Linked DNA regions of Oreochromis niloticus. The protein of the gene in region 1 purifies or fractionates together with the protein of each later gene. This does not show direct contact. Links are inferred from orthologs where the notes say so. Each region holds a gene or a part of one and is shown on either strand. Other genes may lie near its edges. The genes, in order: wdr76, parp1, xpc and hells.

The links.
Region 2: the proteins of wdr76 (region 1) and parp1 purify together in Homo sapiens (affinity purification with mass spectrometry; 4 studies listed by BioGRID and IntAct, with this or other methods). This does not show direct contact. The link is inferred for Oreochromis niloticus from reciprocal best matches to the Homo sapiens genes WDR76 and PARP1.
Region 3: the proteins of wdr76 (region 1) and xpc purify together in Homo sapiens (affinity purification with mass spectrometry; 3 studies listed by BioGRID and IntAct, with this or other methods). This does not show direct contact. The link is inferred for Oreochromis niloticus from reciprocal best matches to the Homo sapiens genes WDR76 and XPC.
Region 4: the proteins of wdr76 (region 1) and hells purify together in Homo sapiens (affinity purification with mass spectrometry; 4 studies listed by BioGRID and IntAct, counting the BioPlex papers as one, with this or other methods). This does not show direct contact. The link is inferred for Oreochromis niloticus from reciprocal best matches to the Homo sapiens genes WDR76 and HELLS.

The regions. Positions count from the first base shown.
Region 1 is NC_031965.2:28,107,590-28,115,738, forward strand, and holds the start of wdr76 (WD repeat-containing protein 76), read right to left. Parts: upstream 3,026-8,149; 5' UTR 2,868-3,025; coding exon 2,823-2,867; intron 2,625-2,822; coding exon 2,514-2,624; intron 2,431-2,513; coding exon 2,341-2,430; intron 2,165-2,340; coding exon 2,072-2,164; intron 1,804-2,071; coding exon 1,745-1,803; intron 1,240-1,744; coding exon 1,122-1,239; intron 996-1,121; coding exon 894-995; intron 628-893; coding exon 587-627; intron 446-586; coding exon 292-445; intron 51-291; coding exon 1-50. Other genes in the region: pro-cathepsin H, read right to left, coding at 4,319-4,388, 4,474-4,602, 5,931-6,037, 6,336-6,404, 6,495-6,576, 6,697-6,752, 6,852-6,938, 7,622-7,726 and 1 more. UniProt on the Homo sapiens protein: Specifically binds 5-hydroxymethylcytosine (5hmC), suggesting that it acts as a specific reader of 5hmC.
Region 2 is NC_031980.2:10,088,050-10,096,016, forward strand, and holds the start of parp1 (poly [ADP-ribose] polymerase 1), read left to right. Parts: upstream 1-4,959; 5' UTR 4,960-5,102; coding exon 5,103-5,225; intron 5,226-6,356; coding exon 6,357-6,519; intron 6,520-7,072; coding exon 7,073-7,188; intron 7,189-7,301; coding exon 7,302-7,516; intron 7,517-7,522; exon of another isoform or gene 7,523-7,571; coding exon of another isoform or gene 7,572-7,967. Other genes in the region: si:dkey-206f10.1 (adenylate cyclase type 8), read left to right, coding at 213-428; adenosine receptor A1, read right to left, coding at 7,572-7,967. UniProt on the Homo sapiens protein: Poly-ADP-ribosyltransferase that mediates poly-ADP-ribosylation of proteins and plays a key role in DNA repair.
Region 3 is NC_031984.2:25,596,286-25,603,742, reverse strand, and holds the start of xpc (DNA repair protein complementing XP-C cells), read left to right. Parts: upstream 1-4,277; 5' UTR 4,278-4,482; coding exon 4,483-4,594; intron 4,595-5,427; coding exon 5,428-5,730; intron 5,731-5,863; coding exon 5,864-5,960; intron 5,961-6,519; coding exon 6,520-6,604; intron 6,605-6,681; coding exon 6,682-6,839; intron 6,840-7,023; coding exon 7,024-7,144; intron 7,145-7,246; coding exon 7,247-7,336; intron 7,337-7,457. UniProt on the Homo sapiens protein: Involved in global genome nucleotide excision repair (GG-NER) by acting as damage sensing and DNA-binding factor component of the XPC complex. Has only a low DNA repair activity by itself which is stimulated by RAD23B and RAD23A.
Region 4 is NC_031978.2:31,195,101-31,202,919, forward strand, and holds the start of hells (lymphoid-specific helicase), read right to left. Parts: upstream 3,145-7,819; 5' UTR 2,747-3,144; coding exon 2,739-2,746; intron 2,129-2,738; exon of another isoform or gene 1,987-2,128; intron 1,785-1,986; coding exon 1,687-1,784; intron 1,426-1,686; coding exon 1,307-1,425; intron 952-1,306; coding exon 829-951; intron 739-828; coding exon 697-738; intron 615-696; coding exon 581-614; intron 1-580. UniProt on the Homo sapiens protein: Plays an essential role in normal development and survival. Involved in regulation of the expansion or survival of lymphoid cells. Required for de novo or maintenance DNA methylation. May control silencing of the imprinted CDKN1C gene through DNA methylation.

The DNA.
Region 1 (8,149 bases):
CGGGTGTGGGGCTGAAAGAGCAGCACACCATCATCTCCCCAGTCACCTCCCTAGAAGAACGTACACATGCAGTAAATCAGTGGTTGGAATTCATTTGATTAAATAAAGCTTTTCAGAGCAAAAAAAACACAAAAAGCAAAAAACAAACCTGAATTCAAACATGAAGCAGACCAATTAGCCTGAGGAGAACACTTATGAATTTTGCAGCCTGACATGAAGCTTTACTGTTGAGACACTTTCTGCCATCTAGTGGTCAAGAACTAATGCATAGTTAAGGCAAAGAAAACTCACCAACTTCCAGAGTCCCACTTTCCCCCACTTGTCGCCCGCAGCCAGCAACAGGCTGCTGGTGCAGGGGTGGAAGGTTGCAGAGAAGATGCGATCCTTCACCACTTTGGCCACTTTGTCCTCATTTATCTTCATATTCTTCACAGAAGAACGGTACCTGTGTTCAGACATCAGTGCACTTGTTTCTTCATCTGTTTCTCAGGTTCTTCCAAAACATCTGACCCTCAGTACATCAAAAGAGTCACTTTTTGTAAACTGTGCGGTAATCTTACATCCAAATAAAAATATTAAATCTTACCCTTTCAGGTCAAGCTGTATCTTTTTATCTTCTTTTGCATCCTGTGAAAAGAAAAGCAATTTCATGACTTCCTAATTGAATAAGAACAGTTACTACACTGGATATGCATAAGAAATTTGTTAGGAATTTTGTTCTTATGCTTGTGGCTAATATGGGCAGTATAAAGTATTCACTTTTAAGTAGGAAAGAAGGCGGGGGGGTTGTTTAGTCCAAAATTGGAGATCTGGCAACATGTTAAACTGAGTGAGCATTGTAAATAAATATTGTACAGAAAAAAGTGAAAATATCATAGAAAACCGACTCTTACCTCAGAGCAGAGCTCAAGAAGTTGTGGAGGCAGCTTGCTTCCTTCTTCCACATTCACTGGATCCATGGGCAAAGGGCCAGAGGGCTTCTTTGCTGGTGAAGACTTGAAAGCAAGTAAACAACTATAATGAGTAACATACCCAGAGAGGAAGAACGAGAAAAAAAAACTAAAGAGACTTAAGGTGCAGCAGTGGATCTGCGTGAACTGAGACATTACAGATTTCTGTACCTGTTCATAAATAAGTGTCCCTCTCGGTTCAGGAGGAAGTTCCAGGATCTCGGCTTCTTTTTTTTGGAGTCGCAGTGATTTGCGAGGTGGCAAGACTTCTTTTACAGCAGCATGTGCCCTGCAATCAAAGAAATGTAACATTACAGGAGGCCCAAAAAGATATGTTTCCTATTTTAACATGACACAGGGTCAGGGTAAATTCAAATTGTTTTTCCTGACATTCACAAACATAAAAGTTACTTTTTCAGGGCTCGCAAAATCGCTAGCCCGACGTCCCGGGGCTAGCGATATCTCCAGTCGGGCGACCAAAATCTATCTCAGCCCCGCCCGTTGGGCTATATGATAGCCTGACAGGCTATTATATCACTAGCCCCGGGACGTCAGGCTAGCGATTTTGCGAGCCCTGCTTTTTTCTCGTACTTAATGACGTTGAGTTGACAAGTCTAGTCTTATTTCCTGAGCTTCACAAAGTTCAGTCTCAAAAACAAATACAAAGTATATTATAGGAGCACTGTGATGTTCCACAGAGAAAACATGGGAGGGGAAAAACCATGTTGTTCTCATAATTTCTGCACCACTGTGGTTTTCCACAGTATCCCGATGCCTGATTATTCCGACTGTACCTTGTGAGGCCTCTCTGCGATGGCTTTGGTCGAGTCAGCTGCTTGAACTCCTCTGTGGCCTTTAAACAAAAGAAAACAATAATTGATACTCTGATAATCCAGACAAATGACAGAATCACAGATATGGTCCTTTTCATAAGGATTTATTCCTCACTCATAGTCTACCTGGGTTAATTACACCAGTAAATATGGCTTGTAGCTGGTCTACATGTCAACTGTTGCTGGTCGAATTTAGACTTTATGTTGATGGTGCTGATAGTGATAGGTTTAGGTCCATAAAAGATTTGCAATGCAGATGATAAAGAGCAGATTTAGTCAATAACATACCTGGAATAAGTTGATAGAAGACAGAAAAGCTTGGTTCTGTCTGATGTTTTCCAGGCGCTCCAGTTCATAGGCAGAAAGTCTCCCATACTCTTCCTGTTACACAAAGATACAGCACTGACACACTGCAAGAAAATTGCCGATTTCAAGTCATTAGAAGTTCCTTAAACTACCATGAGCTGGATGACTGAGAACCTGCACAGACACCTATAAAAACATGTTTCTGTCAGTCACAAAGTCGAATTCAAACTGTGTAAAGTTTCTGTACTCACAGGTGCATGCTCCACGTCATTGTTTTCAGCATCCTCCTCATCCTTTGGTTTCTTATTCTGACTGCCATTTTCAGCGACAGCTTTTGTTTTCTATCAAGAAATTACGACAGATTTAACAAATCGTCCAGTTTTAAAATGACTGTTCGGTCCCATCACTGTGAACGAGCTCTCACCCTTTTTTTCTTGGGAGTTTCTTCCTCGGGAGAGTACTGGAGGCGTTTAGGTGCAAGACCGTTTCTAGATGATCGTCGCACTGTCGCCTCGAGATTCTCAGGGGTCATTTCCTGCAAGGTGTCCCTCGTTAACAATTTACTCAGAGACATTAAGGCACTCATTCAACTTTCTCACCGAAGATTTAGCGAACTCACAACACACCTCCACTTAAAACTGTGCTTCTTGATGCTAATGCTATGAGGCAGCTGCCTAAAACAGGGAGGATAAGTTTAAAAACAGGAAACCACATCAAAACAAGACTACTGTACCTTCACAAGCACAAGAGCTTCGCGCTTTGTTCGGAGAGTCGCCATTTTAGTTCATTTACAATGACAGATACGAGTATTTGTTTGAGAGAAGCGAGACGTGAACACCTCTCAAGTGACAACTATTACGGTCACGATAATTACATGGGGGGCGCAATTGGCGCCACATGCTGCATATGTTTTGTAACTGGTCCTCCCCTTCTGTTGTGAAACAGAATACTGGCACCTGATTGGTTTATATTTTTACGTCACGAGAAGAAAGGTTTAGGTCCCTCCCGCCAACAGCCAAGCTGGCCACAGCTTCTGCTGGGATGATGTCGCCATCTTATGGCAGGATAGGGGAATAGCAGTGACAGGAAAGTCATGGTTATTTATTCACAAATGCTATTGGTTAACGTTTAACAAACAAACTGCCAACGTTTGTCAGTGGATAAAACAGAAAATCTTTATATATGAGAGAAACACACATTACATTAACTTTTTTTATTTGCAAAGAAATAGATTAAACAGATAATCAAAAACCTAAAATATGATTAATTCATGTCCTGATTTTGGGCCACATAAAGTTCTCAACAAATGTTCTATAATCAACAATGGTGCATAAAAATAAATGCTGCTGTAAAATCAACATGTAATCTTTATTTGTTTAGTTTGGCATGTAATTTGCAAAGGCCTGCCTTTGGCCCCAGGGTCTTGAGTTGAAATATGTGGCCTATATTGTTTCCATGGAGCACTATAGGTCATGTTAGAAAAATCTGTTTTTCACTAAAGCAGTTATTAAAGTATGATATACCATACTATGATTATTAGTCAGTAATTAATCTATGTATGCACCCACTGTAGCCTCTTGATAGACATTAGTGATGAGGTTTTACGCACAAGCACTGCTTAGACCATGTTGAAACACACTATTTAAAATGAATTTTGTAAACATCGCAAGATCACTTGGAAAAACATACACATCCACACAATTATGTTTTTTATCACATTTTTTTAGGCTTGTGGAAAAACAGAAAAATAGTTCTGTGCTACACTTACCTATGCATTTTATAATACACATGCACATAGCTACACTGAAACGTCTTCATCTATTATTGTGAGACAGACTGAATGGGGAAAAGGTGTTTTAATGTAATAAACCTGTGCAAACATGATGATACATACTAGTCGAGATGCAGTATAGCTAAGTGCACAAGAATAGTTAGAAAGAAGTACTGTACATCTGTATTAATGTAAAGCATATGCTTCCTTTCCCCAAAATGTAATTATTAAAATGAGTTTGTGTCTTAAAGTAATGATTGAATTTTTCTTTTCTTGCATTTGACTCAAAATTTTCATGTCTCAGTTTTAAGAAAAACATAATAAGGTGTTTAGAAATTAAACTTCCAGAAAACATGTTAGAAACCGTAAGTTGAGATCAGGCCTTTAGGCTGAATAAAATACATTTCGATACACACATGCTCAAGAGTTTCCACTTTGTTGCCCTTTTATTTAGATGCTTAAGGTAGAGGGTAAGAAGAGCAGGCAGCCAGTCCACACATGTTTTTTCCACGCTCGATCAAAAAATATCTGATGAAATAAAAAGGAGAGATATCAGGAATTCTTGCAAGCTGTTACAAGTCATAAAGCTCAGATACACACAGACTATATTTACCCATCCTTTCCCCAGGCTGTGCCCCAAGAGTTCTTCACAATCCAATACGGCACGCCGTTCTTCTCGGTGCCATACCCCACCGCCAGGACTGCATGATTCACTTTGTCTGTTGTGTTCTTACACTGGGTGCTAAATAGACAACACTAGATCAATAGAGCACATGTCTTTTGAAGGTTGAGTGGGCAGATTGTCTCTTTCAATATTATATTACATCCTACATTTGCAAAATATGTGGTGTATGACCAGTGTTGGGAAGGTTACTTTTAAAATGTATTCCACTACAGAATACTGAATACATGCCCCAAAATGTATTCTGTAACGTATTCCGTTACGTTACTCAATGAGAGTAACGTATTCTGAATACTTTGGAGTACTTAATATATTATCATGCTGTTTACAACTACATGAATGTCCTATTGCTGTGATTTATTACTGTTACTGAAGGTCCGCGGCTCCGAAACGTAGTAAAGGGACCTCTGGCTAATACGTCGGGTTCGTGTCGGGCTGGTAGCCGAAAACTAGCTTTACTTTGTTGTCTGGGTCAACTTTGCTTGCGGGAGACAGAGAGAGGCGTTGAAAGGCTTCTCCAACGGAACTTATTTTTTCCGGAGGAAAACACGAACACAGTGTACAGTTGAGTCTTAATAGCTTACTTACAAATGGGCTCCTCAGGCACTCTTCTTGGCTGCAGTGGTTATTATTATATTTACATGCTTCCAGCTCCCGTTTTTGCTCCGTGACAGCTCGGACTTTTCCTTTCTCTCCCTCCCTCGCTCACAGACACATAACGGGTATGGTAGTCCATTCTCCCTGCCGCACGGACTACACTGCCCATCAGGCTACATGCTTTAGAGCTATGCCTGTAGCATTCTGCCTTTTAGCTTAGCACAACAACAACAACAAAAAAGCGCTCTCTCACCCAGGAAACACGCAGAGAGAGAGCGCGTCACCCTGTAACCATGGCAACCGTAACGCTGCCGCCTGGAACAACAGAACGTAGCTGTCAAACAAACCCAAACAATCCTGACCCGCGACAATATGAAACAGGGAAGTACCGCCGTGTATTCCATTTATTTCAACAAAGTAACTGTATTCTGAATACCACCTTTTTAAACGGTAACTGTAACGGAATACAGTTACTCATATTTTGTATTCTGAATACGTAACGGCGGTACATGTATTCCGTTACTCCCCAACACTGTGTATGACAGTCATCATAGAGATACTTCTTTATACACAGTCCCCCATTTGTAGTTTTCAGAGGCTTAAAAAAAATGTTTTATACTTCTTTGCAAAGGATTTTATCCAAATAGTAAAAATATGTTGTTTGTCTGTCTAAATTAGTGTGTAAGTAACAGAAACAAAGTGAGGCTAGTATATTCTGGTCTGCTCTTAAAATCCCAGACCAGCTCTACTTCTTGAATAGTAGTAAATGCATGAGTGCTTGTTGATCTCACCTGGAGTAAACACCTTCTTTGTAGTGCTTAAATTCAGCTGTGACGTCAAAGCAGGAGGTGATAGGATTGAGCCGGGCCACTGCATCAACCATGGCCTTTTCATCATACTGTGAATGGGCACACACAAATTATAACATATACCTGAGTAGGTCGATGTATGAGGAGTTCCCTATTTACTATAAAACAGTTGCCTTTTTTAATAGTAAAAATTAAACAATATATATAAGACAAACTGCTTCAGATTATTTAAAACAGTTACTTTTTCCCCCCCATTGGGTAACAACAAAAACGCATTTTACTGTATTGATCTGTTGTTTTGTTAACCAGCATATGCAAAGACACTCACACAGCACATTTATTGTACAATTTCATCCACAGTGCAACTTTATTTGTTCGCACACTCACACTTGTTATATTGACAACATCTTGGACAAATGCAGCTGCAAGTGAAGGCTCAAAATGGCATTTTTCCTCCTAAAACAGGAAAGATAAAACTTTTTTATTGTATATTTTATCATATGTAAAAAAATAAAGAAAGAAAGATTTTACTCTCAAAAATAATACAAAGGCTTTGTAGGGATAATCCTCCTCTCTCATGAGACCCTTGCTGTATTTGATGTACTCGAATGCCTGACTGGGGAACCCACTGAAATAAACCACACAGCCTTTGATTGATTGAAATTCTATACTTATATTATTATGCTGTTTCTATAACATAAAATATCTTACACGTTATAGTTATAGGCCAAACAAACATGATTCCTACCCAAAGCATCCATAGTTGCTAAAATTTCTGGAACAGTCCAGCAGCTGCTGCTCAGACTAAAACAGAGATAAATAAAGAGCATTAATCGAATATACTCAGAAACAATGGATACTTTTCTTCTGCCAGCTATATTTGTGTATAATAATAACTCCTACCAATTGTATTAGTTTCCCAGTAGCAATAGCATTCACTGACTCCAGACAGCCAGTGGTGGAGAAGGTCCAACAGCTGCCACAAAAACCCTAAAGATACAAACACAACTCAAACAACTGATAATTCAGTTATGTTAAAGAGGCACAAATATATAAATGCTTACCACGATAATTTTTGGTGCTGTAAAATGTAAATGAAAACTGAAGAAACCATCTGTAAATGAAACTCTCTATTTAGAATATTTAATAATATAATATATTATAGAATATATTCTCTCAGAGGCTGTGACTGAGGTATGTTGTTTAAAAAAAATTGCACATGTAGAAAACATATTCTTTATGTTGTATTTGTTTCTCACTGATCAGTTTAGTCATGAAACGTGTCCCGCCACATGTTTCTCATAGAATATAACTGTAAAAATGAAAGTGAAAAAAAGGGTAAATATTATAACTTACTAGCAGAAACATAAGAGTGGCCACTTTTACAAGTAAATGAGAGTCACAGTTTTTTCCTCTCCTTTCATTACATCTTAAAAAAAATTGACACTGTGTATTTGTTCAGAAAGGTGGTACATTTTTAAGGTTTAGCAAAATATTTCTGGAGATTAAACACTTCAATGCAAGCACTTTTGTGCTTCAATGCAACTCAAAGAAAGCACAAAAAATACAGACTTTGTACGACTTTGTAAATATTGTACTTTGCACGATATTTCCTTAACAAAAGGAGAATATGGCTATAAAGGCTTTAAGAGCTATAGAACGTATGAGGATACCTGGTCCTTCACAGGAGTCACAAAGTCGCCCTTCATCCTCCAGTCTACAAACTCAGGATAAGGACCTGTCCTTTTGACATGACTGCCTTTAATGACTGAGCAGGTCTAAAAGATGCGAAAATCAAAAGATTATAAAGGAAATCAAAGACAAACTCCAGCACTCTGTACAAAAGCACCTGTTGTGTGCAGTGTTATAAAATCAGGTAATTTACCGAAGGTTGCGTGAAAAGGTAGAATTTCTTGAATTCCTCAAATGTCATGTCTGAGAATTGGTTCAGGCCCACTAGATTTAAAAATGAAGAGCAGTGTGAGAACTGGATGATAATTTTTTATAACATTCTGAAGCAGTAAATGTTTTTTATTTCATTTATTTGTTCTTCATTCTTTGAGGAACATTTGCAGCATTTTGTTGAATCTATGGCAACAAGAATGAATGTTGTTCTGAAGGCCAAAGGGGATCCAACCTGGTACTAGTAAAGTGTACCAAATAAAATGTCCAGTGAGTGTATATTGCATATTCTGAGGCAG
Region 2 (7,967 bases), on another chromosome or scaffold:
ATGGTGACGGCTGGATCCTACTAGCTGCTCTAGATGGTTCTGATCGATAAACCATCTCAGTTATCCAGCAAGCATAAAAACATCTTGCCAGCAGTGAATTTATGTTCAGAAAGTCTTCATTATCATACAAATTTTGTAGAATAATCTATGTGTTTAGCATAACTGTGACAATATACACATCTTCACTTTTTAATCTATGTTTTCCATTGTAGGTAAGTGAGCACCAGGGGAAAGTCCGCACCTACTTCATCAGGACCGTGCGCGGTAAGATGGCCAACGATGGGACAGATGGCCGCCTGGCAGGGCAGACAGGAGGACGCATGACGCTGGCAGAGGTGGTGTTCAGTCTCGTCCAGGCCAGACACAAGGAGAAGATGAGAGAAGGCAACAGGAGGTTCAATCGGACTCCCTCCAGACTGCAGCGCTGAGGGGACTGTCAGGGTCAAATGGCTGCACGTAGGCCAGGACACACTGGAGCCATATTCCTTTAATGCTTTGCCATAACTGAATTAGCTTCACAGACAAAATACTGAGCTACCTGTGGCAGGAGCCCAATCCTGTTTAAGCCTTGTTTCTTCCAAGACTGCATCATACCCATCTTTTTTGGCATCTCAAGAAAATTTTGGACAAGTTAATAGGAATTTATGGGAAATCATCCATGCTCATATTTCTATTTCTTGACTTCTGGACCAAAACATTCATCTTGCATGACACACCGAGTGGTATGTGGTCTGAACTTTAGTTGGTTAGGAGCTAACTGAGCTATCTAATCAAAGTTCTGGCCTCTTACGTTTCACAAGTATGTTGTAAGCAGTGCAAAGTGCTTTTTCATCACTATTATTGCCATATCTATACACTATAAGCACTGATTTGAAGGTTGTTTTGTAAAAAGAAAAAGAAAGAAAGAAAAAATCAACATGTCTTTATGTTTGCTGGGATAACACATCAGCAAGACTCCAGACCTCCAAGCAAAACACTACCTCTTAGTACAAATTCTCCTAGACTACAAATGGCCAATATAGAATGATGTTTGTTTGTTTGTTTGTTTGTTTGTTTGTTTGTTTGTTTGTTTGTTTGTTTGTATTATCTTAATTAGTACATTTATGTTGTGAAGTCAAGCATTATTTCTTCTTTATATCCAATAATTTCAAATATGTTAAAGAGATTTTGGTCACTATAATTCACTCATGCAACATAATCCAAAAAGAAAAAAATCCCTTTATTTATAAAGTGATTGCTGCTCGGTTTACTTTTGTAAATACTGTATTTGCATAGTTTCCACTGAGCCAGTATTTCTTGTTTTCTATCTTGTCAGAGTCAGTGTTGTTCTGGATTTATGAGATTCAGAAGATGAACACTGAAACAGTTTTAATGCCAAAAACACCTTACATATCACTGTATTCCTCTTACTGTCATGGTAAAAAGGAAAGCACAACCTCTGTCAGTACTAAGGTTCTTTGTGTTAGGACCTAAAAAAAATCATTTCATCCTTACAAGATCTTAAATGCATTGAAATACAACCTCAGATGAATAACACCACATGTAGAAGCAATGTGTGAAAGACTAGGTACACTAAGTCCACCTCCATAGCTTGTAGAACCACATTTAGCAGCAATAACTTGATGTAAATGTTTTCTGTAAAACTTTATCTATGTGAAGGTCCTCAGTCATCCAGGTCATGGTAATCCAAGGGGCTTGGAAAGAAAAGCGAGTGGACTCCTTTAAGTTTCACCTCTCATCCGTGAAGCTTCTTCATTTCTACGATCAACTGGTGGAGAGTCCCATATTTAGGCCCTAATAAACTGGCCAGCCAGCCTTTGTAATATTGTTTGCAGGCAATCATTTATGCACAGCTCTCTTTCAGTATTTCAGTCAGTTAAGGTCTGGTCTTTGACCAGGCCATTGCAACACCTTGATTCTGTTCTTTTTCAACCATTCTGTTGTAGATTTGTTTCTGTGCTTGGGATCATTTTCCTGTTCAATGACTCAATTACAATTTTTCCCATGTGACTCTAGAATACTTAGGAATACATAGGAATGACTGCAAGGTCCTGTTGCTGCAAAACAAGCCCAAAGTATTACAATTCCACCACCGTGCTTGAGAGCTAGTATGAGGTGCATGTGCTGATATGCTATGTTTTCACCAAATATGATGCTGTGCATTGTAGCAAAAGATATTATAATAGTGAGATATATAATATAATAGTGAGAATAAGCTTTCTCACTATAGAATGATGGACATCAAATTGTTTGGAAGTTTCTTTATAAACCTTCCCAGACTGATAGGCAGCCTTTGCTTTACTCCTTGTCATTGTGTTAACACACAACTGAATGCAGCAGACCATCAAACTGCCAAAAGTTCTACTTCTATATAGGTGCTCATACTCACTGACAATCAATTAATCAAGTGCATTTAATTAGCAAGACCTGTCTGCTACTTACTCTGTTAATTCCTATGGAAACAGTAAGAGTGCACTTAGTTTTTCACACTCTGCTTCTGCACTTTGGCTTAGTTTTTGTGGACGACACAGTGTAATATGTCATATGTTGATGTTATTTTGTTGTTCAACTGAAGTTTCGGTCCTAACTAAGAACCAGAGTGATTATGTCCAGATATGTAAAATGGTGTACTTTCTTTTTTCTTTTCTTTTTTCTATTTACCTTGATCATTTATTAAAATCAAACAAATCGTGATGTAGGAATGTTTTACATTGCAGGTCTGATTCAAACTGACACAAATTCACGTCAGTCTTTATTTTGTTTGTCTTTTAACTTCAAATATTAATGTTAAGCTCCTCTATGGGACTTTGTGCAGTTTTTAAATAGATAACAAAGACATGTTTAATTATTGCTACAGTATAGAAATGTTCACAGCGAATAGTACGTCTGTATCAGCAAAACTTTTTACTTCATTTTTTTAATATAATTTTTACAAAAACATTCAAACCAGTCCAGTTTCTACTAATAAAATCAATTATTACCATAAAGCTGGGTGCTTTTAATTTTTTAACTCTGTATTATTAATTATTAATGACACGATACTCTTATTAAACTCTTTTTTTGAAGGTGTATTCTTCTTGGAGGTGTGTCTTCCTTTCTTGAGAGTCACGACGATTGCTCTTGACTCCATTAGTTCTGTCTGCAGCCAGCGCGGGTCTTCTGCAGCCGGCTCACTGATGCTCTATTTTGAAAGATGGTTCACCCGGAAGGTTTACAGAAAGCTCGAAAAGAATAAACATAATCTCTACAGAAGTTAGCTCATCTACAGTAGTGTCTAATACTCCTTTCCTAGACATAAACAAAGGTTTCCTGACAAACACTGTAGACTGTAATCACATACTGGTTTATTTTCCATTACATTTTTCAATTAAAGTTCTGTAATAATTACAATTACAATTACAATTACAATCTTTATTTATAAAGCACTTTTCATACAAACTGTAGCACAAAGTGCTTTACATGGTTAAAAGCAGCCCACCCCACCCTCCCACTCATTCCCCGCACTGTCATTAACAGAAGCGGTCATGATACACACATCCCCCCCCCACACACACACACACATACACACACACACACCTAAAGAGTAAAATTGGGCTGGGTACGTATTAGCCAAGTGAGGAAACACTATCACAGGGAGCTGTCTGCACCGGGAGCCGGTCACAGACCGTAGCCTCCAGGCTGGGCACACAGCAGGAGGGAGGCAAAGAAGCCCCCCAGCCAGGTTCAGAGGACCCACAGGGCCCCAGCAGCCACGGTCGATCACAGCCCCGGTGCAGAGAACCCCCCTCCGAGGAAACACTGGAGATATGACCTAATAAGAATATAAACAGGATAAAAAGATAAAATAAATAAGAGTGGGATATAATATAAATATAAGTATAAACAGAGTAAGAAGATAAAAAATGAATAAGAATACAATCAATAGGTATTAGGTAAAACTAAATGAATAATATAAATAGAATAACAGGATAGAATAAATAAGCATTAAATAAATAAGCGTTAGTTAAAAGCTAAATTAAAATATCATCTCTCTGAATGCTGTTTCACTGTTGTCACAGGACAGAAATATATTTATTTTCCTATTTTTGTCTAAAATTAATCAAATATAAATATATGGTCTATAAAAAGCCTTTATAAAAGCCTTAAGCATAACAGTAATATAATCATATAATCATAATAATCATATAATAAACATAATAATACAATATATTAATCATAATAATGTTAATAGTCACAGTGTTTTTCATGTATCTGTTGGATTTTGTATAGTACTGAAGAGAATTTATGTGTTTCTTAAGTCAAGATGCAAATCTAAGCAGAGCTGTAAAGGTTTTGTTGTTGTTGTTGTTTTGTTGTTGCTGTTGTCTTTATTTTTACACAATTCAGTTGCATATTTTAGTAATTTAATGTTTAAGGTATGTGTTAATGGATTTTGTGTAATTTTGATAAAGTTTTGAATTATTTTCCTTTAGATCTTAATTCAGTTCTGGTCTTTAGTGTAGGTAGGTACTTTATTAATGCCAAAAGGGACATTACTGTAGGATAAAGGATTTAAAAAATGCATGGAAACAATGAAAACATCATTGTACCACAGTACACAGGTGCGGTACCACAGGTCCGGAGTAAAGGCCTTAATGTGACACAGGGCAAACATTTTGTATGCATACACAGTGATAAAAAAAGAAATGATATAGCCTCTTTATTACGGATATTATCTGCAGCACATGTAGCACACTATGCATCACAGGCTCTACTCCAGAGGCTAAACTCCAAATTTCCATGTCTTTAAATCCTTAAAATCTCACTTTAAGACATATGGATATTCAGCATACATGTCACCTTCACTCGCTCATATCTCACTCAGGAAGAATGAGATTGAGATTGCGAGTTTAGAGCTGTAGTTTTCCCAGATGAGAGAGCCGCTGGTGCGGTGGGAAACAGAGACAGAGTGAGAACTCTCCACGTGACTCTTCTCTCTGCAGGCACGCGGGCTTCTCTCCGCCAGTGCGTTGATTGTTGCGGTTCCTCGTCACCCGAAGAAAGTTGTTCGGCTCGTGGTGAATTTGCGTAGTTCTGTTTTAGTATTAAGAAATAAATCAACTATGGCAGACTCACAAGAGGACAAGCTGTACAGGGTGGAATACGCCAAAAGTGGCCGCGCGTCGTGCAAAAAATGCAAAGAAAACATAGCTAAAGACTCGCTGAGGATGGCTATCATGGTGCAGGTAAGGTGGCGACGTGTGGAGGCAAAGCTGCTCCGTTAACTAGCTTGCTATCTGGGTGCTGCTATCTGCGTAAAGCATGCGGGCTGTTGTACGGGTGTAGTGGATGGGTAGGAGCAGACTGGAGAGTAGGAAAATATAGCTTATGGTGTGGTTTGAGTTGCGCCGAATCAGGCCCTCGTTAGCATTTAAATGGCTGACATTGTCTGTGCACTCCTGTCCATCACAAAGAGCCGCGGAGCCTTTTTGTCTCTGTCTGGCTATTATGCATCTTGCAGTTCATGAGCTAATTTAATTTATGCTTGAAGGCTGCAGATATTCAGAGTTTGTCTATCCCAGAAGACAAATAATAGGAAAAAAATCACAGCACACAGAAGCAGAAATACCACTGCGTGGAAACTGCTGCTGCCCCACAGAGAGGTAATCACTTAAAGAGTCGGAGAGCTGCTTATGTGGCTGCCTGTTTACTCATGGTTGATGGAACAGCTCCAGATTCTCAGGTCACTCAACTTTTCTCTCTAAAGACCTGTCACATTCAGTCTGTGTAATTCATACAAATCAGCAGAGTGTAAAGTACTTTTTGAGCACTTAATGCACCTTTTTTTTAAGAATGTAGGGGTCACACAGGGCTCTATTCTTGAGCCACTTTAGTTTACACCTTGTATAAAGTATGCCTTAGTAAAAGATTTTTTTTTTTAATCTTTGTATATGAACCTTAAAAAATGTGCTATGTCCTAAATATACAATATTTATTCAATTTTCATAGCTATACATGCTTTCTTTTTTGTTACCTGCCCAGGGACTGTCATTGCTAGAAAACAGCATGTTTACATCTTATTTTTTTTAATACTGATGTCCATAAAAAATGTCTCAAAGCCATGGGCTGTTTGTCAAAATTTTGCACAACCTGGATTTAACTTAAGAGTTAGTTCCAAAGTATCTTTGTGTCATGCAATAAATGGATTGAATGCCCTACACATAACATGGCATTGGTAAAGAAAAGAGATGATTAAATAAGTCTGGCAGGAAAATATTACCCTTCTCAGGCATCATATAACCATCGAGCTGGAAGAAGCAATTAGAGACACTTTACACTGTAAAATAAAACATCTGTGTTTGTTTTTTGTTCTCCAGTCTCCCATGTTTGATGGGAAGGTCCCCCACTGGCACCACTTCTCCTGCTTCTGGCAGCGAGCATCAGCTCAGTCCACCGCTGATATCGCTGGGTTTTCTGATCTCCGCTGGGATGACCAACAGAAGGTGAAAAAGGCCATTGAAAGCGGTGGCGCCGCAGGAGGTCAGTACTTAAGTTTTATTAGGCTGTGACCCCTCGTGGAAATGGTTGGTCGACTTAATTAATGTTATCTTAAGCTTCCTTTAGTTATTATAGGCAATCGAAGGAGTAACAGTGTTACTAAGCAGCAGTTAAACATTGCCTCATCAAAGAATCAATCAGTGCAGCAGCAAAGAAAAATCATAAAGTAATTTCATTCTTTAGTGTAAATGCCCTTATCCTGAGAGGATAACATAATTACCTGCTCAGTCACAAGAATTTATAGCAGTTGACTTTGGAAAGAAAATCAAACCCTGTATTATATATTTTAAATGGTTTCCTGATGACTAGACTATAGGTGAAGCTTTGGTAGGCTTATTTAGAGCTGAACACTGAGTCTGTCAGTCATTTGAATGAAAACAACTGACAGCCATTTCAATTGTAGTTGGTCTGACATAACTCAGATTTAACCTATACATATATCTATACATCTGTAGACTCATCATGATATATGTTTTATTACATATAACTGAACCAGCTATAAAAAGATATAAATGTTCAATTTTTGATCTTGTAGGGAAAGGTGACCAGAAGGGTGGCGCTAAAGGCGAGAAGACGCTGAATGACTTTGCTGTGGAATATGCCAAGTCAAACCGCAGCACATGCAAAGGCTGTGAGCAGAAAATAGAAAAGGTTTGGGACCGCTTTTATTGTCTGAAAACTGCTGTTTAAATGTAATTATTTAATTATCTGGTGGCTTAACTTTGTCATTTTCCCATAAATATTTGATCCATTTGAACCACCAGGATCAGATTCGTGTGTCCAAGAAAACTGTGGACCCCGAGAAGCCACAGCTGGGTCTTATTGACCGCTGGTACCACACGGCGTGTTTCGTGAGCCGCAGGGAGGAGCTGGTTTTCAAGCCCGAGTACAGCGCCGCTCAGCTGAAGGGATTCAATGCACTGCGGGCAGAGGACAAAGAAGAGCTCAAGAAGAGGCTCCCTGCTGTCAAATCTGAGGGGTGAGCCAAAATGATTTATTCGGTTTGAAGCCTGGGATTAAAGTTATGATCAGGTCTAGCGTTGATCCCCACTGTTGGTCTCATTTAAAGCCTCTCTGTCCACCACTGTCCTGCAGCACATAAAAATAGCTTTAAATGTGTCCCTGAAAGCCGTCATGGTGTAGGCATAAAGGAAAGGGTTGACAGCAGAGTTTGCGTGTGACAGGATGATGGCTGTGAGCAGAAGCTCAAGAGGTACATAGCAGCGTGGACAGAGAAGCAGGAAGCAGTTGATTATGTGAAGTGGGATCCAGCAGACCGTAAAGAGGAAAAGAACCAGAAAGAGAGAAGTAGCCGTCTTCATCTCTCGTCGCATGCTGGCCGCGGTCCTGATTTGTCCGTCACCTCTGCCGCTTTGCTCAGATGTGATGCGCCGCACTTGCCGCTTAACCGTGACAAAGATTTGGGCGTA
Region 3 (7,457 bases), on another chromosome or scaffold:
GAGACAGAAAAGAGCCCTATTCAGCCCCTCTGCCTGGCTTTTATTAACACTGCGCGTCACTGAGGCGACATAAGCCTCCCCCCCCTCGCACCCTCTCTGTTGCAGACAGACACACTCACACACACACACACATGCGCACACACACACATAAACAGAGGGAGGTCTCCTGTTCAGGTATGATGATGCCTCCTCCTCGCTTTCCCCCCACAATCCCTCTTTTTTTTTTGTTAGCTCCTCCTCACTTGTGGGCTTTTGTTACCTCACCCCCTCCTCCTACTACTGTCCTTTTCCACCACACCTCCCTCCCTCCCTTCTCTCTCACTCTCTCTCTCTCTCCCTGCTCTCTCTCCGTCTGTTTGCCTCTGCCGCTGAATGAAAATACGCACAGATGCGTAAAGGGGCGGTCAAACTCCACATATCCACCGGTGGCAGCGGCAGCATCACTGACCCTATCTCTTTGAGGACGAGAGGACGGGAGCAGGGAACAACTATTCTTTTGGACAATTCTTCAGGCCCTCGAAGAGAAGCCCAAGCGCGACCCCGGAGCCCACCTGTTTGAAGCCGGACACTGTTTGCTCGAATCAGAGCTCAGAAGACGCCACAGCAGCAGCAGCAGCCCGAGAGGACACAGGGAATGCGGGTACTGAGTCAGAAGAAGAACCTGCAGGGTCCCGGCTCGGATGCACGGATGCTCGCTTCTTCATCTTCTTCTACCCCCCCACCTTCCCCTTTCTCCTCCTCCTCCTCCTCCCTCAAGCTGCTGTTGCTCGTCTGTGGCGATCCAGAAATAGCAGCAGCTTGTCTGGAGGTTGTATGAGAAAGCGTCTGAGATGTGGGGTTTATTTGCGGTAGTTATGTTTTCAGCTAAGAATTGCCCGTTTTGTGAATTTGTGTTTGTGTGTGTGTGTCTCTCCCTCTTGTCGCCTCTATTTTGAGTTTCCAGCTTTGATACCACTTAGTGTGCTGGAGTCGTACTAATTAGCGGCCTGATTGACAGCTCGGTAATTGGATTTATTTCATATCCGCTCCTTGAAGTTGCGAAGCCTCTTAAGGCACAAGAGGAATGGTTTCTGGGGCTTTATTTCTTTAGAAATCAATAATAACATACCTACTCCAGACTTGTAGGGATTTTTTTAAGAGGGAGAAGGAGGGATTCTAATTTTAATACAGTTTCTTGCCAAATTCTCAATCCTTTTGCTAAATCCTTCCTGGGGCTTAGGAGGACAGCAGATATTTCAGCATTAAAACATAAACTCCACTGTAGAAATATGTCTGTTATTGAGACAGATCTCAGTCTTACATGTGTTAGCAGACATTTGTTTATGGGGATAATCCAGAAATGGCCATATATGGTAGAAAAAGTGGGGGATTCAAAAACTATCAAGTAATACATTGTGTTAAGTGGACTTAAAAAGTACCAAGCTGCTTTAAAACCAAGAGTGTCCAAGTGGACAACAGGTGCTCACTGGAGGAAAATCTGCCCCCTTTATAACTTACTCAAAAAAAAATCCACATGTAAGAAGCAGCACAGATTAGAGCGCGTGAAGAGAGATGATATGGAGAACGTATGCTCCAATTACGTAAGACTTTAGCACCAAACAACCAAAATCTATTATCGATGTTGATTTTTTATGTTTTTAAACCTATATATGTTAACAAGAAGGTAACTGCCTCATTTAATCAAAGAAAAAAAAAATTCAAATGAACATGCATTGTAAAAATTTTCAAACATTTTCCTGTACTTGTGTTGCAAATTCACATGAATTGCCTTTGGGAAAGCTTTAAGGGGTGAAACAGATGTCCTTGTGATATATACATATATATGGATACATACAGGGTAAGGTAAAGCAAAGACCCTGTGTGGTTACTCAGTATCCAAAAACAAGGTCTTTGCTTTCGAACATGGTGTTTACTACTGCTATTTATATTGTTATAAAAATCTTCTACACCATACACTGGGACAGCTCGCGCTGATCATCATCAATACAGATCCAGCTGCCGTGGAGACAACAACGTGGGCATAAAATAGCCCGTGTCCTTGCATTGTGGATGTCAAACCTGTTGCCACACCTCACCAACACTTGCCTTTGACAAGGCTTCATGTACTCCCCATCTGACTTGCAGGCTGTTTTCTGATTAGTCTCGGTGTGACACTGTATCTTCAGCATACCTGGAGTGCCGTGCAGAGTCATCTCCTATAAGCTCGTTTTTCTCTCTTGGTTTCTGTGTCCTTCACCTGCTCTTATCCTTTTTCGAGTTTTTCTCGCCCAAGGGAGTTTCAATTGAATCTCTTTCCATCTATCATCCGACTCCATGCGTGTTTGTGAGTGTGTGTGTGTGTCCTTGCTCATAGAACTCAGTCCTTTCAATGCCCCGTGCATTGTATGGCTTTTTATTCCTATCTGACTGTACTTATGGTTCATATAGGGATGGAAGCCATGCACTGCGCTGGGAGCAAAGCGCACACGACCATGGACTCCTGCCATGTCACCTCACCCATCCACATGCTAAGGACTATATGTATAAGCACACTCTTAGCCTAGCCTGCATGCTCACATATGCATGCACGCATCCACATAATGGTCAAGGCAAAGCAACTAACAGAAGTATGGACGCACACGCGCTCCACACATAAACGCGCATTCATTTATGCGTATGCATGCAGTATGTATGCATATGTATGGTGTATGCAGTACCTATGGAAAGGGCCCCCTGGTTTCAGGAGGCTCTTACTGCAGTGAGTCAGTCTGAAGCTGTCTGACTGTATCAGCTGACAGATGGCTCTCTGAAGTGAAACACACACACATCTGCCACAGAACCTCAATGTGATCGATACAGATCACAACAGGGCTGAATGAAAATTAAATTGAACTGAAATGAGCTGAATTGATTCAGAACCAAGAGGCAGAACTTGTTTGGTGTGTCACGCAGACCCCGGCGCAAAATAACAAGATGAAGAATGCGCTCAGGCATCATCATTTACCCACTTAAGTCTTTTTCAGGGTTCCAGTGGGAAAATGAAAATGAAAATGAAAAATCCCCCCAAAAAACAGCATCGCGCTCGGTGGAAGGCAGTGACACGGTTGACACACAGATGACCAAAAAAAACCACCTCCCAAAAAAACACTGATATCTGCTTGTGTAAAGTTTTAGAAAATAACTGTGAGGAAATCCCTGTTCACAATACCTAGAATAGCACAGGATAAGGTGGGAAATAGTATTTGGGGATATACTGAATTGGATCAACCCCTAAAAACAGTGGTAATAAGTATTATTTGGACTGATGTACAATTAATTCAGTCTTGGAGTGACACAGTGGAGCAATACACAGAGCTTTGAGTCTGTTGTGTTTGCTTCTGCATCACATGACATGACACCAGCTTTTCTGCTTCTTATTTCTGTATCTTTCTGCCAAGGATTGTTTTTTCTTTGCAAACAAGGTGATTTTGACAGACAGCTGAACGGGCCTTTTAATGGTCTCATGTCCCTGGTGATCATGCAGAATCTGTTCAGCAATGTATTAAAGTCCAATCCAAATTCGTGACTGGCTTTTTTCTGTTTTCTTTCCAGTTGTTGCTTCGTCTCAACACATGCTTCCGGGCATACTGGGGTCTGTGGTGAAAAAAAATCCATTTATCAAGGGAAGACCATTTAAAAAGTTCTCATGAATCATATTTGGCTGCTTTTATTGAGTGGAGCTCAGGGTGGTTTGCATTAGACAGTGGATAACAGTGTTTTTCATTTTTCAACCTCTCGCTCTCATTCTCAGCACAACCACTGACTTCCACTGATGACACCGCATGCTCAGTTACAGCCTGTTTGATAACACTGAACATCAGCCCTTTCACTCATGTAACAGCAAACATGCTTAGTTACCACTAAATCACATCAAACATGTACAGTAGCTAGAGGTTCTTCTGATATTGTGTCTCTACTGTAGTTTTCTACTGTTGAACTCACTGAACATGCTTCTGGCTAAATGCTTCATTATATAACCTAAAAGAGATCACTGGCTGTTAAAAACGAGTATGAATATGAAACCTAACTATCAGGAGCATGTGGAGCTGACCTTTGTCGAGGTTGAAAACCTTATGGAAAGCACAACACCACCCCTTAGCGCCCAAAAGTGGTATTACACCTATATATATATATATATATTAGACCATAAAGCCATTTATAAACAAATGTTGGTGTCAGCCTACTTAAAAATACCCAGGTGTTAGCTTGTAATTATAGGGAGCTGAATTGGGTCTATTTAGTGAAGAAGAAGAAGAGGACAGGAGAGCGGATATGACGTCATGGTCCGGCCTCCAAAACAACCGGGTGTAGTTTCTTGTGTTATGAAAACTCCTGAATGGCAGTGTTAGGTAACTGTTGTTTCCTCGCCCTTATACAACAGCATGTGGAGCTCTGACGGACTACTGCTCTTCTAGCTCTGGATATTATTATTCAACGAAAGTTTTTCCACTGACGGCAGCTAGCATGGCGAGGAGAAGAGAGTGCGCAAACACGGGGGGCGACACAAAGAAACTGAAGCAGGTGCTGAAAGCGAAGAGCAGCGGGGCAAAAACAAGAGCGAAGAAGAAAGATGCTGGTATGAAAAGTCGGAGTTGCCTAAAATGTGTGTCTGTCATTTAATAAATGAAACCGCTAGCCCCCAATAGTTAGCAAACTAACTGAAGTACAGGGGAGGTTAGCTAAGCGGTCTGTGCACAGTGAGCCTGGGTTCATGAATAAACTTGCACACGTTCATCTGAGGAAGAGTTTCACACAGATGACTAACATCAGCATCAGCCGTAGTAAATGAAAAATACTGCTTCACAATATTATAAAATAGTGGACATGTAAAACACATCCTCTGTCATCCATTCCCTCTGACTGCTTTTTGTGCAGTTATAGCGTGACATGAATATAATTTATGTCACAGATAAATACAAAGCTTCAGTTTATTGGGGAGAATGCATCATATCGAGCTATTATAGCCATCACCATAAAGGCACCGTATGAGCATCCAGGTGCACTGCTGAAAGATGTGCATGGTTGCTGAAGTGGATCTACTGGCCCGGATGCACATCTGTGCTCCACATAACAAAACACCAACCATATTTTGTGCATAGATGGTGTAAGTGTGTGTGTTAACTTCCCTTCATGCTTTGCGGTAAATCATTCATAAACTGTGGTTTTTATTCAGATAAACAATGCTGTTTCACCTCCTACAGTAACACAAAAATGATTCTCCAGATAATTAAGACACTTTTGTCAATTTTCTGTAGCAAAAAAAGAAAGAAAAACATCTCCATTCAGAAAATTGGCTCATAATATAATGCATTTTTAGGGTGGTTGTACTTCTGTTTTGTATTGAAGTGTTTTCCTTTATTCTCAGTCAAGCACAGCAGCTTCAAAACATCTTTCCATCTGTTTTACCAGGTGAGGACATCACAGATAAAGAGGAAAAGATAGAGAGGAAGGTCATCCCTAAGCCACGTGTCCCCTCAAAGCGAGCAGCAGGAAATAAGTTGTCTTCCCAATCTGACACCGGCTCTGCTGTCAATACCAGCAAATACTTTGAGTCACCCATTATGGAGGAGAATGATAGCGAAGATGACTTTGATATGGTGACCTCCCCACCACGGCTGCTTAAGGTGAACACCAAGAAACCAGAGAAAGAAGAAGAAGGAGTAGGGGAGGACAGTGAGGAGGAAGATGAGGATGATTGGGAGGAAGTGGAAGGTAAGTGTAAGATCGGTAATATTTATGATTACGCATTCCATGTGTTTTGTTTGTTTTGTTTTGTTTTTTATCCTTATGCCAAGCAGGGAGCAATTGAAAACAAAGGAAATGAATTGTGTGTGTGTGTAATCAGAGCTAGCTGAGCCGCTGGGTCCACTCGAGCCTCTAGAACCCGTCCTGCCCTCTGAGCCTGTAGAGATTGAGATCGAGACCCCAGAAGTCAGAAAGAGGTAAGTGAATATAGAGTATAGAATATGCACATGCTCAACATGAAATTCTAAAGTTTTGAAAATAAAATAGTTCTTTAAAAAAGAGTTGCAAAACAGACTTTTTTGTGATATTATTTCTTAAACAGTTGAGGTGTTAATCTGTGTAAAATGAAACGAACACAGGAAGACATCCAAAAGTCAATCAAAATAAATAAACCTCATTATTAAAACTCAGGAATCACTAGCATAATTTAAATTAAGGCTTTTCTTTAGTTTCATTGTGTTCAAGCTCTGAGTTTAGTTTGGTTTTATTTAAACAAAATCAATCTGAATGTAGCTCCAGACATTGTTAGCTGATGTCTCCAAACTCCCGACCCTCTCATTATATTCAGGAAAACATTTTTGGGTCCCGGAGTCTCATTCAAATGTACATTAGTATGAATTTTCTCCACAGGTGTCAGGAGAGGGGACCTGTAATTGTGCGTTTATGTGATTAGCTTGTGGAAAATGCGTTATCTATGGGTGTGCAGTTAATGGTATATTTGTTTTAAGCCAATAATCATGATTTCTGATTGGCCAGGCGAAAAAAGCAGGCGGAGCTTGAGACGTATCTGAGGCGAATGGTGAACCGATATAAGAAGGACCTGCTGATAGACACCCACAAGGTGAAAACACGCTCTTCAGTTCTACCTTTCTTCACTAGCTCATCCCTGGCTTTCCTAACCTTTGATTGGTCTCTTAGGTCCACCTCATGTGCCTGATTGCCAGCGGCATGTTCCGCAACAGGTTGTGCAGTGAACCAGACCTGCTGGCCATCACTCTGTCGCTGCTGCCTGCCCACTTTACCATGGTAGCTAAGGACCGCATTGACCAAAACTACCTCTCTGGGCTTCTTAAATGGTATGTACTTATAAATGTGAAGTTCCTGAAATTATTTTAATGCCAGAATGTGTAAAACTGAGAAATTTTCACAGTAGGGACAATAGAGCTACTATTCAGAAGCCATCAGTCACTGGTAGCCTTGTATAATTAGCACCATATCTTATGATTCCATTTCCGTCCATCCGGCTCTCTTCTTTCCCAGGTTTAGAGCAACATTTACCCTCAACTCCAGTCTTCACTGTGAAGAACGTCCGGACCCCCAGAGGCTCCTCGAGAGGCGACTGGCAAGCCTCTCAGCCAGAAATCACGAGGAGATGACTCACGTTAGTAGTTTGGCATGAAACCGGTCCATTTTCTATAAAACAGTCCCCCTAGTTGGACGTACAACTGAAAAATAAATAATTATGCGCCTGTGTTTCCTGCAGCTGTTTCTCTTGGTCCTACGCTCTCTGCAGCTCTTCTGCCGATTGGTCCTTTCTTTGCAGCCGATTCCTTTCAAAGCCCCATCAGCCAAGGTACTGACAGTTTGTTGCTTTTCCTTTAAGAAGACACTGCGGTATAATTACAACAGTCACATTTGGATAACTGCTGCAGTTTAATGTATAGAACACATTTTTTAAAGCCTTCTATTAAAAA
Region 4 (7,819 bases), on another chromosome or scaffold:
TCAATGTCTGCTGCCACATTTGAATGGTACGGTTGGGATCTGGCATAGAAATACATGAAGGCCCCATCCTCACTTCTATTAATGGTTTAGGTTGGTTGTGGTGATGTAGCAGAGGTGGGGCCATCTTCTTGACACATCCCTTTGTCCCCACTGTACATCGTTTAAACTGCACAGCCTGAGTATTGTGGATGACCACATTCACGCCTTTATGAACACAGTGTACCCACAGTGTGATTAAAGTGCCATGCCACAAATCTCAGATCAGTTTCTCCAGCATGACAGAAGTTTACTGTACTCAGATCGTCTCCACAGTCACCAGATCTCAATCCAATCTTTGGGTTGTGGTGGACCAGGAGAGCTGCTTTGTGGATATGCAGCCATCAAATCTGCAAACTGTATGATGGTAAAATGCCAGTATGGACTGTTTCCAACACCTATGCTAGAATTATGACAGAAAGCACAACAGGGTCCCAGTACTAGCAAGGTGTACCTAATAAAGTGTGCATAGAGTGTAAATGCTACTAAACAACTGACATCTGAGCTCCATACTGTAAGTTTAAATATTAGAATACTGGCTCACCTCTGTCAGCTTCTGCACCGTTGGCATTTTGCTTCTAAAAGGAAACAAACTGCCGTGAGTATGGCTGGAAACATGATTGTAACTGTAAATGATGACTTTTTCAATAAATCTATCACCTTCTTGGCTTTCTTCTCAAGTTTCTCCTTCCTGAGTCTCTCCTGAGATGGTCATTAGCAGAGCAGAAGTGACGTGTTAGCCTTGAGTGAACAGGTGCAAAAAGTCTGTACGGTCCAAATTTTACACCATACCTCATTCTGTTGTTGCTCCATTTTTGTCAGCAGAAACTTTGAATAGATGTTGCTCTTCTGAAGCAAATGCTGGAGCCTCTTGAACCGCATGTCATGCGAGTCCCTCTCCCAAGACTCCCTGGCCTTATGGGAAAGGTTGAAAGCAATTACATTAACATGAGTGGGCTCGAAAGCGTCCAGCACATCAGTGATGTAGAAACATCTCAATTGTGGCTCATCATCACATGAACTCCCTGATCTTGTGGACCGGTGAGCTACAGACACACATCTATACGCTTTTTACTCCCTAAAATCTGTACCAGCATCGCACCCACACAAACAACCCAACTAAAACTAATGTTTTACTTTTACTAATGTTTTAAAACTAATGAGTTTAATAATGAGAAGTTATTAATTTCAACATTTAATCTGATAAAATATGCCAGTTTTGGATAGTTTAAAAAATACAACTCCCACGTTGAGAAATTAAACGACATACCTTTTTCATCATCTCCTTCTCTTTCCTCTCGCCTTGCTCCATTAGCTTCTTCTCTTCTTCCTCCATTTCCTTAGTAATCACCACTTCAGGTGTTATTCCCTCAGACTTCATACTCTCATCTTAAAAAACAACAACAACACTGACAGTGACACGACCTGAACAAGTCTATGTGCACAGCATCTTTTCAGTAACACAAGTGTAAGATAATTAGCCTTTACTAGTTAATGAGCATGTGATATGGAGCCCTGTTCCTAATGAACTGGCCACATCTCATCAGTGTCACCTGAGAATTAAGCAACATGACAGCAAAGCACATGCCTCATCAAACTGGCTCTATCTCAGCTTGCTTTGCAGCTCTGTAGGTCAAAAATGGAACTTACCTTCAGTAGCACCAGTTTCAATGGCTGTGCCCAGCGGCTCCTCAGACTCGTCAGGTTTGGGGCAGTGAGGGGAGACACTTCGAGTTTCTTCTTTTAGGCTATCAGCAGAAAAATGAAATCTACTCAGTAAAACTTTTCCTGCCATTTTTCAGAGGTGAGTAAACACCATTTAGACCCTTCCTAGGCCCTGTAACCGAGGTGAAATGATACATTTGATTTGAAGGGATGAAATACAACACGAGTATTTCAATACTCTGCATATAACTTTGGTGCTAAGCTAATGTAGATACTATACTTTACCATACAGGATGCAGTTTCAGACAGTTTTTCTGTGCTGTCTGAAACGTGATAATCGGTGAACATCTGTGACTCAGAATATTGCAAGTTGTTGTTATAACTTCTGGTTAATTAATGGTGATAAAAAAAATCTTCCAGATCGCTGCAGAAAAGGGATGTATGCTATTTATTTATTTTTTCTCTGGGTGGGAGTTGTAAGGGTGCATTTGTCCAACACACGGTGGCCTTGGTAACAGTAAACGTGCATCGAAGCTTTACAGAGAAGAAAATGATACTTTATCGGAAATTGTAACTATTATGTTAGGAACGAGGAGACTCAGGGCTGCAGTATTACAGCGGGCATACTGCCGCCTTTGCGTTCACCTGTACAGGTCTTTGAGCCGAGTTATTACAGTGCACGTATGCTCCACGCGTCACACATGTGTCGCGTACCTCTCGAGTTTTGTTACTGGCGCGAGTGTACGATCGTGTCGGATTTAATGATATTCCAGCACAGCAGCTCAGAGACATACACATATACAGAAGGAGATGTTGGCGTAGGTGAAAACTTTAGTGGGTTTTTTTTGGGGGGGGGGGACACTGGACAAAGTCTTGGCTTCCGGTCTTGCATTCTCCTAAAAAACGCTTAGTGTCTGAGGGGCGACACCTACCGACGCATATCGTTCAGAGCCGTACTGCAGCGACTTCCTGCACCGTAAATAAAAGTTTCTGTGAAACGCGGTAGCTGCGGTGAGTGAAGCGACCATTACACTTACCAACTCATCGTTGTTGGCAGCGATGCAGACAGTCCAAATTATGCGGGTTCTTCGAGCTTTCTGTGAAGCTTTTCAAAGCGTTCCGTTTCTGCTCAAAACAGCAGAGCTTCGTCAATTACACAAGCAAGTTATCCAAACAGTCATACAACTCACTCTACCTAGCCTAGCTGACTGCTTGTATTTATGATAGCTGTGCAATGTCGGAGCAGTATGTCCGAAAATGTTCCTTTCTCTAAAACGTGAAAAAACATTCAACGAAAAGAGTTTGACGTGAGTACTCTGCAGCCCGAATAACGTGTTTTTTATTAAGCAGACAGAAATATGAAATGTACTTCCGACAGCAGCCTTTCAAACAAAAAGTGCGTCCGCGAAAAAGCTACGTTGAAGTTACGATTGTATTTTATTTTGAAGGCAAATTCATCTAGTTTCCGCCATTTGTCTCTACAGTCCTGAAGCTAAGATTTTTATAATGGGCGGAGCTTTCCAATTTCGCGCCATTTCGGAGGAAACCACTATTTGTGAAACGGGGTGGTGTGTGATTTAAGGTAGAAGATAATAACATTTTGGTTCACATTAATCGAAACGTAGCAAAAAAAAATTGTAATTAATTAACTAATAATTAAAAGGTTGTCTGATTTATACATTACAGAATATCGTATGTATAGACAAAACTATTTTAAGAGGATGGTCACCCCTCTGAGTGGAAAGATGTTTTATAACTGATGTGATTTTTCCCGCGAATGTAAGGCTGTGCAGTGAGCAAATGACAAAAAAAAAACCTCTCTCTCAGTCGGGAAACTAGACGGTTGCTTGTTTGCTGGCACCAGCTGTTTTTTATTAATAGTTTTAATCCCTCAGACTCAGGATTAAATAGAAGCCTTCAACAGTAATGATGGGAAATATTTTCTGCAGAATAACTGTTTATTTTGGATACAACCTGTCCATAATACATTGTGTAGTGAAGTATCTTCATAGTGTTTTAGCTATTCTTTTGCAAATGGAATGGTTTGCAAAAATATCCTCCACAACCTGTTGAAGCCGCTATGGTTGCCTGACATCCAAAACCAGGCCTCCCTACGCCTGGTTCTGCTGGAGGTTTCTTCCTTTTAAAAGGGATTTTTTTTTCCCTTCCAAGGAAAAGCACTTGCTCACCTGGGTCGTCTGATTGTAGGGTCCTAACCTTACAATAGAAACCACCTTGAGGCAACTGTTACTGTGACTTGTCACTATATAAATAAAATTGAATTTAAAAATTGAATAGTTGTATGAAACCAGTGACTTCAAGAATCAGGATTGGCCCTTCAGTTAGCCATTCAAGGTGTGTGTCATACATTAGCAGCTGGTTCATTTGTGCTTTCTTTAGCCAGTAGGTGTGAATCATGTCAGGACATGATATGATTTATACTCATTTATACTCACTGCAATGCAAATAGTTATAATTCTGAACAGCCCTCAACTGTTTGTATGACCAGCACCTTTTTATTAATGGTTAAGAGCATGAAAGTTATGTCTCTGACTAATTCATGCTGCAGACTTCAGATAAGTGACACAACCATGTAATATATACTCATTATTGATGAGCTCGGTATAAAACAGCAGTCCACGTGTAAATATTCAGCTACCCCAGGCTGTGTTGTTTTGCAGCCATACTGAAGTGGACAGTAGCTTTCAACACCATTCTTCCCTCAGTTCTGAAGGACAAGCTGGAGAACTCTGGAGTGGACCATCACCTCACAGCATGGATACTGGACTACCTCACCGACCGACCACAGTATGTGAGGACTCAGGGCTGTGTGTCGGACAGGGTCGTCTGCAGTACGGGGGCCCCACAGGGAACGGTTCTGGCTCCGTTCCTCTTCACCATCTGCACTGCAGACTTCTCCCACAACTCCACCCAGTGCTTCCTGCAGAAGTTCTCTGATGACTCTCCAATAGTCGGCCTTATCACTGATGGGGACGACAAGGAGTACAGAGGACTGACCCAAGACTTTGTGGACTGGTGCCAGCTGAACTACCTCCAGATCAATGCCAGTAAAACCAAGGAGCTGGTGGTAGACTTTCGCAGGCACAAACATCCTCCACTGCAACCACTGAACATCCAAGGTATGGACATTGAGGCTGTGGACAGCTACAGGTACCTTGGTGTTCATCTGAACAACAAACTGGACTGGACTCATAACTCAGACGCCCTCTACAGGAAAGGGCAGAGCAGGCTGTACCTGCTGCGGAGACTCAGGTCGTTTGGAGTGGAGGGCCCACTCCTGAAGACCTTCTATGACTCTGTGGTGGCCTCTGCCATTTTTTATGGTGTGGTCTGCTGGGGCGGCAGCATCTCTGCTGGGGACAGGAAGAGACTGAACAGGCTGATCCGAAGGGCCAGCTCTGTTCTACGATGCCCTCTGGACCCAGTGGAGGTGGTGAGTGACAGGAGAATGGCGGCTAAGCTGTCATCCCTGTTGGACAACATCTCCCACCCCATGCAGGAGACTGTGACAGCACTGAGCAGCTCCTTCAGTGGGAGACTGCGGCACCCACGGTGTGGGACGGAGAGATTTCGCAGGTCTTTCCTCCCCACTGCTGTCAGACTTCACAACAAAGACTTCAACTGATCAAACACACACATCCACACATGTGCAATAACACTAATGTGCAATACTCCTTTCTGGCATCGTTGTATTTTTACTCAGTTGTATATAGCATTTGTATTCTATTTTTATCTTATTGTATATTTTATTCTACTGTATATAGTATTTTATTTTATTTTATTCTATTCTGTACAGTTGTGTACTATATTTATTCTTATTGTATTCTAATTTTTGCTTCATAACTTTTGCACTGTCCACTTCCTGCTGTGACAAAACAAATTTCCCACGTGTGGGACTAATAATAAAGGTTATCTTATGTTTAACATTCACACAAAATCGCAGCATACAAAGATTCCTGGATGAACACAGCAACTAAATCCCAAACATAATTCACTTCATCTATCAGTGGCGGCTGCAAATATAGGCGTTTAATTAAAACATGTTTAGCCATTACATATAATTATACCTGGTGACACTGCTCCTGTGTAAATAAGCAGCTGATAAATGAACTTTGGTCCTTGAAGGTCTGACAGTTTGTGACTAGAGGCTTTAATCTGCATTGCTGCAGGATTTAGACCTGAACTAAACTTTCAGAGATTTACAGAAATCAGCAGACTCAATTCTGAGAATTTAGAGAACCATTTTAAGTTTTTATCTCCTACTACTGTAATTATCCTTTTCTCATTTTCTTGTTTTTAACCTTGGTTACTTTTGTTCATTTTTCTTCCATTTATCTTATTCTTTCATCTGGATTATATTTTGTTCATTCCCATTGTGCTTTTGAAATCCAGCTATTTCCCTCTTCATGTAAACTAGCAGTCAAAAGTTTGGACAACACCTTCTTTTTCTTTATTTTTACTACTTTGTACATTGTAGATACATACTGACGAAATCAGCTATATGAAGCAAGATACATGGAATTATGTATCAAAGAAAAAATGGATAAATAACTAAATAGATAGAAATATGTTTTATATTTTAGATTCCTGAAAGTAGCCACACTTTGCTTTGTTGACAGCGCTGCAAACCCTTTGCCTTCTCCCAATGAACTTCCTGATGTAGTCACCTGACATGGTTTCACTTCACAGGTGTGCCTGTCAGGGTTCATTTGTGGAATTTCTTGCCTTCTTAATGGAGTTGGGATCATCAGTTATGTTGTGCAGAAGTCAGGTTGGTAAACAACTGACAGGTTGAGAGATTCAATCAGCTAAGTAAAGAGAAACAACAGTCCATCATGACTTTAACTGAAGGTCAGTCAGTCCTAAAAATTGCTAAAACTCTGAATGTGTCCCCAAGTGCAGTTGCAATACCCATCAAACACTAATAGCAAATAGCTGCTAAGCTATTTGACCATAAAACCACGACTAAGGAAAAGCAACTAGCAGAAGAGATTTGTTTGGGCCAAGAAACACAAGGAGTGGACATTAGACCAGTGGAAATCTGTGCTTTGGTCTGATGAGTCCTGGCCTCCAGTCACCTGACCTAAACCCAATGGAGATGGTTTGGGATGAGATGGACCGCAGAGTGAAGGCAAAAGGACCAACAAGTGCTCAGCATCTGTGAGAACTCCTTCAAGACTGTTGGAAAACCATTTCAGGTGACGACCTCATGAAGCTCATGGAGAGAATGCCCAGAGTGTGAAAAGCAATAATCAAAGCAAAAGGTGGATATTTGGAACAATCTACAATATGAAACATGTTGAGGTATTTCACACTTTTCTGTTTACATAATTCCATCTGTGTTCATTCATAGTTTTGATGCCTTCAGTGAGAATCTACAATGTAAATAGTCATGAAAATAAAGAAAAAACATTTAATGAGAAAGTGTGTCCAAACCTTTGACTGAGAGTGTATATTATCTTGGATTTTTCTCGCCCCCCCCTCCAGAGGGACAGCTGAACCACAGTTGAGTCTGCAGATATTGCAAAGTCTGATCAGAAAGGCCTCAGTGTTCTTTTCTTTGCCGAGTATTTAAAATGACATGTTTTAGGGTTCAAATGCTTCAGCTCAGCTAATATTAACTGATGCTCCAGGGGTTCAGGCTACAGGTTATTTCAGGACAGCAAGTGGAATTCCTTACAATTTATGTGCATCCAGCGACACACACAATGACCATCGTGTTGTGACTTCTTCTTATCCAGAGTTTGTTTCAAACTGAATCCAGTCGCCTTTATTATGAAACGAACATTGTATTTTATATATGCAACTCAGTGTTCAGTATTGTGGTTAGACGCAGAAATTTGCAGACCCTGTGTTATCTGACAGCGGATATGCCATAAAACTTAAATAAATACACTTTTTTTTTTTTTTTTTTTTTTACATCTTACTAAAACTCCCAGACACATCCTCCCATTTCATACAGTCCAGTAATACAATATTTATTTTCAATTTAAGTGTTACATTTTGAGCAACCAAGTTACAGTTGTCTTCAGCCACAAATTTAATGCAGAGAAAGTGAAAACTGTTTCAATAATGGTTGGAACAAAACAGAACCAAA